Callithrix jacchus: one gene and its partner. The protein of the gene in region 1 binds, or shares a complex with, the protein of each later gene. Links are inferred from orthologs where the notes say so. Each region holds a gene or a part of one and is shown on either strand. Other genes may lie near its edges.

What was found. The genes of interacting proteins can lie anywhere in the genome.
Region 2: PA2G4 (region 1) and SRSF1 share a complex: the UniProt entries of both Homo sapiens proteins name them as parts of the ribonucleoprotein complex. The link is inferred for Callithrix jacchus from reciprocal best matches to the Homo sapiens genes PA2G4 and SRSF1.

What each region holds. Positions count from the first base shown.
Region 1 is NC_133510.1:63,563,934-63,567,944, forward strand, and holds the start of PA2G4 (proliferation-associated protein 2G4), read right to left. Parts: upstream 2,801-4,011; 5' UTR 2,608-2,800; coding exon 2,520-2,607; intron 394-2,519; coding exon 265-393; intron 1-264. UniProt on the Homo sapiens protein: May play a role in a ERBB3-regulated signal transduction pathway. Seems be involved in growth regulation. Acts a corepressor of the androgen receptor (AR) and is regulated by the ERBB3 ligand neuregulin-1/heregulin (HRG).
Region 2 is NC_133506.1:108,327,635-108,334,870, reverse strand, and holds the start of SRSF1 (serine/arginine-rich splicing factor 1), read right to left. Parts: upstream 4,111-7,236; 5' UTR 3,988-4,110; coding exon 3,794-3,987; exon of another isoform or gene 3,378-3,793; coding exon 3,193-3,377; exon of another isoform or gene 2,828-3,192; coding exon 2,655-2,827; exon of another isoform or gene 2,455-2,654; coding exon 2,268-2,454; exon of another isoform or gene 1,895-2,267; coding exon 1,872-1,894; coding exon of another isoform or gene 1,856-1,871; 3' UTR 1-1,855. UniProt on the Homo sapiens protein: Plays a role in preventing exon skipping, ensuring the accuracy of splicing and regulating alternative splicing.

The DNA of each region.
Region 1 (4,011 bases):
AATCATCAGCCTACTGCCTTGCTTTCTCCTGGGAGCCCTGTTGCCCTTCAGAAAAGTGTAAGGATATTTTCAGGGACTTGCTTAAGCTTTGATCAGTTTGGATTAGGAAGAAAACTGCTTGTATCCCATTTGCCATTCCAAATTTTCAAATATCTCAACCAGAGCTGGAGTGGAGACTGCATCATTACAATGAAAAAAATAAAACATATAGAACTAAATAAGGGTCAAATGGGAAATTAGTGAGGTTTTTTTTTTTTTTTTTACCTTTCTTCATTTCCTTTTCTTTTTTGAAGATTTTCCCTGTTTCTTCCATAATCATGGCATCACCTTTCTCACACAGGCTCAGTACCGACACACCTGAGCTAGATGCTTCCACCAAGGACCGAAGTACCCCTGAGGACAGAATGCCATCATGTCAGCCTTGTATGTATTTATTGTCTAGTTACCACCCAAGGAATACCTGGAAGCTGGACTTAGGAGTCTGTAATACTCTCTAGTGCTACTGCCCCGAGGCTGAAAGGACAACATTCCCTTCCCTTCCTTATTACGTTACAAGTGGGTATATACAATCCATCTTCCTAGGCAAGGCCTTGGACTTTCCAAAGATGCTACCTTTGGTGTGACAGGACAGAGTTATGAACTTTAGAGGGTTCTTGCCAAGGTATGCCCACATACACGCAAAGACAAGATGAAATTTATAGGCATCAGGGACAACAAGAAGGTAGACAGAATTGCAGACTCGAAGCTGATGCATTATTAAATGTTACCGCCTTCCTTTCTCAGACATTCTAATTAGGTGTTAGGAATCTCAACCTATGTAGACTTATTTCCTCATAAACAAGAGTATAAGCCAAAGGGGCTTAACCTAAGGTCCCTGGGTTTCATTTCAGGGGATCATGGCTTATCTCAAAGAGATGTGAGGCCAAATTTACAAAATTTATATCTGAGATCACAATGGCCTGAAGTTATAAACTGCAAAAAAGAGACTTTCTGATTCAAACTACTATCTCAAATACTAACAGGCACCAAAAACCAGGGTACTATACTAAATGTCCACTGTGCACAGGTTTGATTTTTGAAATCTCAGTTTTGGTGATTCTTTGAAAGCTGGTAAAAACTCAGATTTTCACCCACAGGACCGGAGGCATCCTAAATACCGCTTCCCCACCATCTTTGCTGTTAAAACCATTTAAAAGCTGGGCACAGTGGCTCACACCTGCAGTCCAGGCACTTTGGGAGGCCAACGTGTGCGGATACCTGAGGTCAGGAGTTCAAGACCGGCCTGGCCAACATGGTGAAACCCGGTCTCCACTAAAAATACAAAAAACAAGCTAGGCATAAGGACATGCTCCAGTAATCCCAGCTGTTGTGAGGCTAAGGCAGGAGAATCGCTTGAACCCAGGAGGCGGAGGTTGCAGTGAGCCAAGACTGCGCCATTGCACTCCAGCCTGGGCAACAAGAGTGAAACTCTGTCTCAAAAAACAACAACAACAAAAACCAAAAAACCACACACACACACACACCCCAAAAAACATTTAAAAGCCCACGGACAAGCAGTTTCTATCTCCCTGAGTTTTAAGTAAAATGGAAAGGCGAATTGGAAAGAGAGAAAAGAGAAAGTGACATCTGCCTACAGTGACAGGCTACTGCTGAGATCGTCAGAGCACAGCTTGAATAAAGATGACTTGTGACAATCCTAAAATCAGTCCTCTCTTTTCCAGTACTGTTTGCAAGCTTGCCTAGTTGGGATAAGACGGGGACTCCAAAACATTTGAGTTGTCAAGTCACTGAGAACAACAAATGTGAATGCTAACTAAGGCTATCTGCACAGATTGGAAAGGTGGTAGTAATGAGTAACTTCAAGAAAAGCCATATATATCTCCAAGACTTTGGTTAGAAGCTCCCGGAGTGCCCTCCAACGGATCCCTTAGCTGGTCCAAGGGTAGAAGGGGGCCCCCACCAGGGTAAGAGCTGAAGTAAAGGAAAGGCTCCAGCAAAGCACGTGGCAAGGAAGCTGGTGTCAGGGACAGTAGTGGAGGAAGAAGGGGGCCAGCCATCCGCAAGGGGACCCAGCAACACGTGCGAGAGGCTCGGCTCCTGAAGCCCCAGAGAATCGACAAAACAAGAGGGGGGCTTCTGTCGCCAATAGCTGGGCGCTTCCTTTTCGAGGTGGCCTCGCCGCTGCCAGAATCAGATGAAGCAGAAATCGGGACTGAAGGATTGGAACAGGAGAAAACCTGTCTTGCCTCCTAACAAACGGCCTCGGGTCGGAGCCTGCCAGGGGTCCCTCTCTGCGCTCATCCCAGTCGCCGGCCCACACGTCCACAGACTTCAGCCTGGGCCTGGCCACTCAGGTCCCAGGCGCTACACCCGGTCTTTCCACCACGCCGCCCCCAGAGAACCGGTGCGGACCCCTCGGTAGCTCACTCCGCATGACCCCTCCTCTCCAGCCCCTTTGGGGCCAGCCTGGCACCTTTCCCTGTCAGCTTTGATTCCCCGACCCCTGAGGCCGCACTCACGGTTGGCGATGTCGCCCCCCATCTTATACTTGGTCACGACCAGGTCCTCGGCGATAGTTTGCTCCTGCTGCTCGTCCTCGCCCGACATCTTCCTACCACCACCACTGCAGCCTGGTTTCCCCTGAGCCGCCGCCTCTGTCCCCGTTCCCAGCCTCAGGCTGTGGTCAGAGTCCCCTAGATCCTCGAGGAGAGGGCGAGCGAAAGCGCGAGCAAGCAAGGGAGCGGGCAAGCTGGCGAGAGCGAGAAGCTGCGAGCGCGCGGGCTGAGGCGCAGGGCACGCTGGGACAACTAGTCCTCTTCACCGCCAGCCTCTAGCCGCCCTCGGGGGCTTGAGAACTACAATTCCCAGCCTGCCTCTCGCCCTCCTAAGCCAGGCCCAGGGGCCTTGCCCTCCAAGGGCCTCGCACGCCGGAATTGCCGGGCACGCTGGGAAGGGTCAGGCTCCGGCGGGAAGGCGGAGCCGTTGGGGAGCTTGCGGGGAAGCGTGGTCTCTCCCGGAAAAACCACTTCCACCGAGAACTCTGAGCGAGAGCCCGTAACAGAGAGGGGCGGGCCGAGGGGAGAGGGGCGGAGCTACGGCGGGGAAATAGGTTTAGAGGCAAGGGTGGAGCCGGGGCGGGTGGGCAGTGTCTACACCTAGGGCGGGGAAGCGGGGTGCGCCCTTCCTTGGATCCCTCGATCGGCTGGCGAAACCCGCCCAGCCGGTCCAGTAGTCCTGCGAAGCTGGGAGAATAGGGAGAGGCAGACAGATGGAAGAAGACCTAGGGTGCTGGGAGCAGGGGCTAACTGGGCAGCCAGAATCCGGAGGGATCATCCATTTAAAGGCCTCCCAATCTAGAGGCTGGACTCCTTAAAGAAGTAACATGACATTGTTCCAATAACAGGCTGGATGGAGCACTTAAGGGAAGTGTTCAGAAAGACAGATGTTTGTTGAGAGCGCTTACTGTGAAAAAACAAAATAAAAAGATTTGGTGACTTTTCTAAGAATGAATTCAGAAACACGTAGAGGTTTCAGTATTTGGCCTCTGAAGGAGACCGGACACGTATATAGTGCTTTTTATAAGTCCCCAAGCACGTGGGTTATTTGTTTTTGTTATTCTCAATTGTTTTTGCTTTGTAGATTCCTACTAAAACCCCAAAGGACTATAAGCTATGCTTGTTCTAAAGAAATACAAGTAATAATAGGACTAGAGAAAGCTGCATGGGACGGAGTAGCATTGTCAGAAGACAGAAAGGTGACTGTCCTCTGCTGAGGAGATCTATCTAACATATGAAATGTTTTCATTTGACAGACAGGAAGCTGAAAAAAACTTTGGCATTTTTATTCAGACATGTATAAAAACAAAACATTTCAGTGATACAACAGATATTTTCCCTCAGTTCCCCATCCAAAGGAACAGAGGCGTGAAACTGGGTCTTCTTTCTATCCTACCTGGAAGCTTCTTACTGCTGGGATGAGAATGGCTCCTAAAAGTGAATCTTGGGGGAATCC
Region 2 (7,236 bases), on another chromosome or scaffold:
TCAACCAATTTTGCACAAAAGCCTGTTGCCTATATGACTACCAGAAAATAAGCAGCATCTGTAGTTTTTAAATCACTTTACAAAGTTGAGAAGCTTATCTTTCAGATGCTAGACCCACCCCCCACCATCATTTACATTACATATACAAACGCCTTATTCCCCTTTTGCCTTCCCCTGAAGACTTTTACAATTAACAATAAAAGATAGCTAATACCATTAGATTGCCTTTTAAGAACTTTTAATTTGCTAACATATAAACACAAGAGTCAAAATCTTACTTAACAATTTAAAGATTAACTGACAGACCCAGTTAGAATCTTACATGAAGAGGAAAAAGGACAACCATGCATAGTTTTTTAAAAAATGTTTATTTTTTCAAAGAAAAATGGCAATAGCCAATTGGAAACCTACTTATTCTTCAACTCCAATTTTGTTTTCTTTAAATTTAGAAGTGACTTACTGATTTACTATTTTAAACAAACCCCCCCCTTTTCCCCTTTAAATGTTTACCATCTACTCGTGCTGAATCCTTCCAAGGAGATTGCTCCAGCGTTTATCTCCAGGTCCTCGCTTTGCTCCTTTTACCAAAAAATGCAAAACACAATTCCATCGTGCATCTTAAGGGCTCCAATCGTCAAAAATAGGAAAAAAAAAAATCTTTGGAATAGCCAATTAAGTTGAATAAAAAAATCCACACGAATGCGGTTTGGTTGGGGCAGGAATCCACTCCTATGTTCCTGGTAATCTGATCCCGCTCCATGAATCCTGGTAATTCATCCTCCCTATCCTATCCACATTATGATTTGAATCCAATGATCCAGCTCCAAGGATTGGGATCCAGTGAGCCCTCTCCAATCCAAACCTTTATAACCAGCAAAACCAAAAAAGAGGAGGCAAAACGTTAGATACTGTAATCAAAAAAGGTTTCTGGGGAATGATGAGTTATGTCAGTCATCAGTTTAACAGATGCACATCAATAACTATCAAATTCCCCAAAACAAGTTTCTGAATGGTGTTCAGATAAATTTTAGAAACTTAATCATCATAGAGACTAACTGGAAGAAGCATCTTATATTTACAGTTCAACTGATAATGCCAACACTTGTTACTGTACAGTGTATTACAGGTTTCGTGGTTGCAAGAAGTTATGTAATTTAAGTTTACTGGCATTGCTACCCACCTAATCTAAAACTAAATCTAATGCTCCCATTTGCAATTTAATTTGTAAATTAAAGTGTTTTAAACATATGAATCAATTATGAATATTAAAGGGGAAGGTGAGACCTAAGTATTCCCAACTAGATTATCTACACCAATACATTGGAACTCTATTATTTTGCTTTCATTTTGTCTTAAAAAAATGAAATAGCAACGCTCTATCAGTCACACAGAGGACATGCAGATTTAGCAGTATTGATATTATACTCTATCTTGTTGGATTTAAAGACACCCTCTACCCACATGTACACCAACAGCAGGTCACACATTAACAGTTGTAACTAAGCACTGCGACAAATTAGCCAGTTCTTCCCACATTAGTCCCTATTATAACAAAAATGGGGGGAAGGGAGCAAAATAAGTTGCTACAAAATGGGCAACATAATTTTGCCACAATTGCCAAGGTTTAAAAGGTAAAGCAATTGTAGCTAAAGGTAACTGAATAAAACATTCAAGTGTTTTAAGGAAAATGTATATAATCATTTTTACCCCCCTGCCTTTTAGTATAAGGTCAATACTGCCAATTTCATCTGTGACAATAGCACTTGGAGTCATACCATTGCCTCCATTATTGATCTGATCCTCCTCAATCCTCCTTTTGACAATCCTAAAATGATTGAAATGTGCTCCACAATCCTTAATCCAAAGCATTCTTAATCCATCTCTTCAGATATGTCTACAGAAAGACACATGAAAAGCAAGATAAACATAAGAACTTCCCCAGGTAAGATAACCATAAACATCCCCAACATCCCAGTTCACACAAATCAGGGCAAAATAGACATTTACACAATATCACAGTCTGAAGAGTATGGAGTTAACTAAATTTAAACAATCCTGTCTATGACATCACTTAAAATACAATTTATCGAAGACACGAGGGGAATGTAGATGTTAGGAGCAAAGGGATATTACAAGAATGCAATTCAACACTTTAGCCCATTCTGAACAAAACAGTTTGAATTAAAAAATGAAAAGATTGTACTGAATAAAGGAAAACTGTATACAACATGGGTTCTACAAAAAGTGTCACCAATCATCTTATGTACGAGAGCGAGATCTGCTATGACGGGGAGAATAGCGTGGTGATCCTCTGCTTCTCCTTGGGGAGTAACTGCGACTCCTGCTGTTGCTTCTGCTACGGCTTCTGCTACGACTACGGCTTCGAGATCGAGATCTTCCATAACTTGGACTTCTGGGCCCATCAACTTTAACCCGGATGTAGGCAGTTTCTCCCTATTGGATAGACAGAACTTTCCATTGAAAGATCTAAGCTTTCACCTAGCTTCAGGCATGCTGAATGAATACAATGTAACTAAAACCAGAAATCTGGCAATTTACTTGGACACCCTTGCCTGAATCCTTACCTTCAAATTCCACTGTTAAGACCACTGTATCCAATTCTGGTCAAAAAAAAGAATAAGCATATAACCTACCTCATGGGATCTAAACTTAGTGTTATCCAGTTTTCGAACTGCATAGGTCATATCTTCTTTCCGTACAAACTCCACGACACCAGTGCCATCTCGGTAAACATCAGCATAACATACATCACCTGCTTCACGCATGTGATCCTTTAAATCCTGCCAACTTCCACTTGGAGGCAGTCCTGAAAAAGCGATTTTTTTTCTTAGTATCAATTATCTTAAATTTCACGTTAAGCTGATAAGGTACATTAGGACAAAGAGTACTTTAAAATACTTAATAGTTGTACTTAAGTGATACCAGGTAAAGAGCTGGTAAGATTCTGGAATCCAGAGTCCAAAATTATTTGTAACGGATCTTCGTATCTAGTACCGCAACCTAATTTGGTAAATCACCACAGCAGCAATCCTCGTTTATTAAATTCACCCAAAAACTAAAGCAATTTAAGACCTAGCATGAAAAATTTGCAATTGTTAAACCGGTCACGCAAGAGAAAATTTTTAAGTAGTTTCCGTCCCTTCACATCAACCACACAACCGGTAGACTTACCAGAGACAACCACTCTGTTTTCAGACCGCCTGGATGGGGGGCCATAGCGACCTCGGGGAGCTCCGCCACCTCCACCCCCGCCGCCTCCTCGGCCTGTTCCACGGCCGCTTCGAGGAAACTCCACCCGCAGACGATATCCATCGTAATCATAGCCGTCGCGACCATACACCGCGTCTTCCGCGTCCCTGCGGGATCGTAGACAGTAAAAGGCATGAGAAAGACCAGGAGGAGAAGATCGCTCAGTCGGGAACCAGCGAACCCCCCGCACATGCGCACCCAACGTGGAAGAGCCCACATGCGCCGCATAATGGGAATGACCCCTCCCCCACCCAGAAACACGCCAGGCTCCCAGCCACTACACCAGCCCTCAGCGCCTCAGTTTCCCGCTCCAGCCTGCGAATGGGCTCCGGGGACGTCCAAGGCGAGGCGCCAGAGAAGCCACACCAACTCAGCTCCTCACTCGACTCCTGCATGGGCGATACAGTCTCGCCCCATCCTCTCTAAGAGCCCCCGCCTTCCCGTTCTCTATATTAAGGCCTTGGAGTCTTCCCCGACCACTCGGACCTATTTCCTCAAGGCTGCAAGCCCCATGCCGCCTCACCGCGGGTCCTCGAACTCAACGAAGGCGAAGGGCGGTCCCCCGCGGCGATTCTTGAGATCGATGTCGCGGATAGCGCCGTATTTGTAGAACACGTCCTCAATGTCCTTGGTTCGGATGTCTGGAGGTAAGTTACCCACGTAAATGCGGCAATCGTTGTTCCCTGCGGGGCCACGAATCACACCACCTCCCGACATGGCGGCGACGAAAAACGTGGACTCGAGAACGGGCCTTCCCACCAAGCCTAGCGCACGGCAGAGCAAGCCCGCAGCGGCACCACGTCTCCCGCGGCCCCTCCAAAATGGCGCCTTTATCAGTTCGGCGCACGGATATGGGGGGGGGGGGAGACAGAGGAAGAGAAGCGGAAGGAAACAGCGATTCGATCCCAACACGCACGCGCTGCGAAGACTACGTTCAACGTACGCGCGCGCACGCACGCGCGACGTCACCCTCCGCACGAAGGGGGAAAAAAAGTCCCCCGCGTTCCCGGCTTGGGGTGGTTTGCGAATAGAGTGGCCGTTTGGTAAAAGTTAAATAAAGAACTCTCTCTAAAGGAGCTAGTCTTCCAGGTCGGGTCTTGAAGGACAGTCAGTTTCCCCAGGAATGAGGATCTCTGAAAGCAACTCGGCGCCTTGAAAGGACTTGGTGAAACCTAGCCTAGAGCCTTGTCCCACCATGCTCTGCGGCGATAACGGCCTTTGGCGGGAAGGAGTCTCGGGGGCGGGGCCAAAGGGGGAGGGACCGGGCGGTTGCTCCGGAAACCCAGGCATCCTTGTAGAGTGCGTCTAGTTCAGAGCTGAGGTGCCATTGGAGAGCTGGGGCGTTGGTTTGTCTTCCCTCTCCTCCTGCGAACAGGGCGTGGCTCCTTAGACAATGAGATTTGTCTAATTTAGCAAAACCGATTTCGATTCCTAAATAAATCCTCTTCACTAAGTACCGTTCCACCTTCTGGTCAGAACTTTGCATAGCTTAGTTCAGCACTCCTTGTGCTTAGTCGCGGTGGGTAGGTCGTACTAGCTATCCGGAAGGGGTGAAAACACCGTACCGCCTCTGGGACCCACACCTCTGTATCTCTTGTTAGTCGCCTATCCGTGGGACTGGCGCAAAAGATTTGCAAATTTGTTTCCGTTGTTTCCTTTCAAATAAAGAGAAGGAAGAAGGGGTGCGTGTGTGCAGTTTTCCCTAAAAGTTACTGATATACCAGGTTTTGAAACTACCAGTCCTCTCAGGTAATAAAATGGAGCGAAATGGATGTGAGAACCGTAACCACTAGAGACCGCGGTTGCTACTCAGGACTGTGATCTACTTGCCTGCAGTCTTGGGAGATAATATTTTACATTTTTTTCCGACGTCTAAAATCTAGATTTTTTATGTTAAATCCAGGGATTTTTAAGGTAATGAATTCAAATTAAAATCAGGCTGGGCGTGGTAGCTCACGCCAGCACTTTGATGGGCGGGTCACATTGAGGTCAGTAGTTCAAGACCAGCTTGGCCAACATGGTGAAAACCAATCGCGGTGGCTCACGCCTGTAATCCCAGCACTTTGGGAGGCCGAGGCGGGTGGATCACGAGGTCAAGAGATCGAGACCATCCTAGTCAACATGGTGAAACCCCGTCTCTACTAAAAAATACAAAAAATGAGCTGGGCATGGTGGCACGTGCCTGTAATCCTACCTACTCGGGAGGCTGAGGCAGGAGAATTGCCTGAACCCAGGAGGCAGAGGTTGCAGTGAGCCGAGATCGCGCCATTGCACTCCAGCCTGGGTAACAATAGAGAAACTCCGTCTCAAAAAATAAATAAATAAATAAATAAAAATAAAAAGCCAGGTGTGGTGGCGGGCGCTTGTAATCCCAGCAGTTTGGGAGGCTGAGGCAGGCCGACAGATCACAAGGTCAGGAGTTTTGAGGCCAACCTGGCCAATATGGTGAAAGCCTGTCTCTACTAAAAATATAAAAATTAGCTGGGCATGGTGGCGTGCGCCTGTAGTCCCAGCTACTCAGGAGGCTGAGGCAGGAGAATCGCTTGAACCCGGAGAGCAGAGGTTGCCGTGAGCCGGGATCGAGCCACTGTACTCCAGCATGGGCGACAGAGTGAAACTCCGTCTCAAAAAAAAGAAAAAGAAAAAAAATCAAATTGAAATAAGCAGGAATGCTTGGTCTTGTGTCTGTGGACCCTCAATATATGCACAGATGACGTTCGGTAGTCGAACTTTCTGTAATATTTTCCAAAGTTTTATGCATGTGTACATCTACAAAAATATATGCATGTGTGTACTTTTTTCTAGGAAGAGGATTTGAAATTTTAATCAAATTCTTAAAGGAGTCCATAGATCCCAAAAGGGAAAAGAACTATATGTGTGTGTGTGTGTGTGTGTGTGTATATATATATATATATATATATATATATATATATGTATGTATGTATTTTTTTTTTGAGTCACCCAGGGTGGAGTGCAATGATGTGATCTCAGCTCCCTGCAACCTCTGCTTCCCTGGCTCAAGCCATTCTTGTGCCTCAGCCTTCCAAGTAGTTAGAATTACAGACATGTGCCACCATGTCCAGCTAATTTTTGTATTTTTAGAAGAAACAGGGTTTTGCCATGTTGGCCAGGCTGGTCTCGAACTCCTGGCCTCAAGTGATCCACCAGCCTCAGCCTCCCAAAGTGGTGGGATTACAGGCATGAGCCCCTGAACCCAGCCAATTTTTTTTTTTTTTTTAGACAGGGACTTGCTCTGTCATTCAGGCTGGAATGCAGTGGTACAATCACAGCTCACTTCAGCCTCAACCTCCTGGACCCAAGCCATCTTCCCACCTCAATCTTCTAAGTAGCTGGGACTACAGCTACAAAAAATGCAAAATCACTACAGAAAATACAAAAATCAGTCTGAAGCGGTGGTACGTACCTGTAACTTTAGTAGAGTACGTACCTGTACCACCGCTTCAGACTGATTTTTGTATTTTTTATGGTGATGGCGTCTTGCCATGTTACCTAGGCTGCTCTCGAACTCCTGAAGTCATGTGATCCTCCTGTCTTAGCCTCCCAAAAGGGAGGGAACTACAGGTGTGAGCCACTGTGCCTGGCCAGAGCCTGAATTTTTTTTTTTTTTTTTTTTTTGATGAGGACCAAAAGAGATACTATTTCAACAAATTTAATGTTTCTAGCATTGTTCCATTAAGTGAATGGCAGAAAAGAGGAGAGTTCTAAAAAACTTGCAGCCTTTTGATTCTTTTATTCAAAGTTATTTGCTGGACACATTTTCTTTCTGTTCTTTTCTCCATCAATTTAAATTTATACAGGCAAATCTTCTGTTAATTAATGATAAGCCAATAATTGGGTAATTCATTTTAAGAAGAGATGAAGGGCCGAGTGTGGTGGCTCCTGCCTGTAATCCCAGCACTTTGGGAGGCCGAGGTGGGCAGATCACAAGGTCAGGAGTTTGAGACC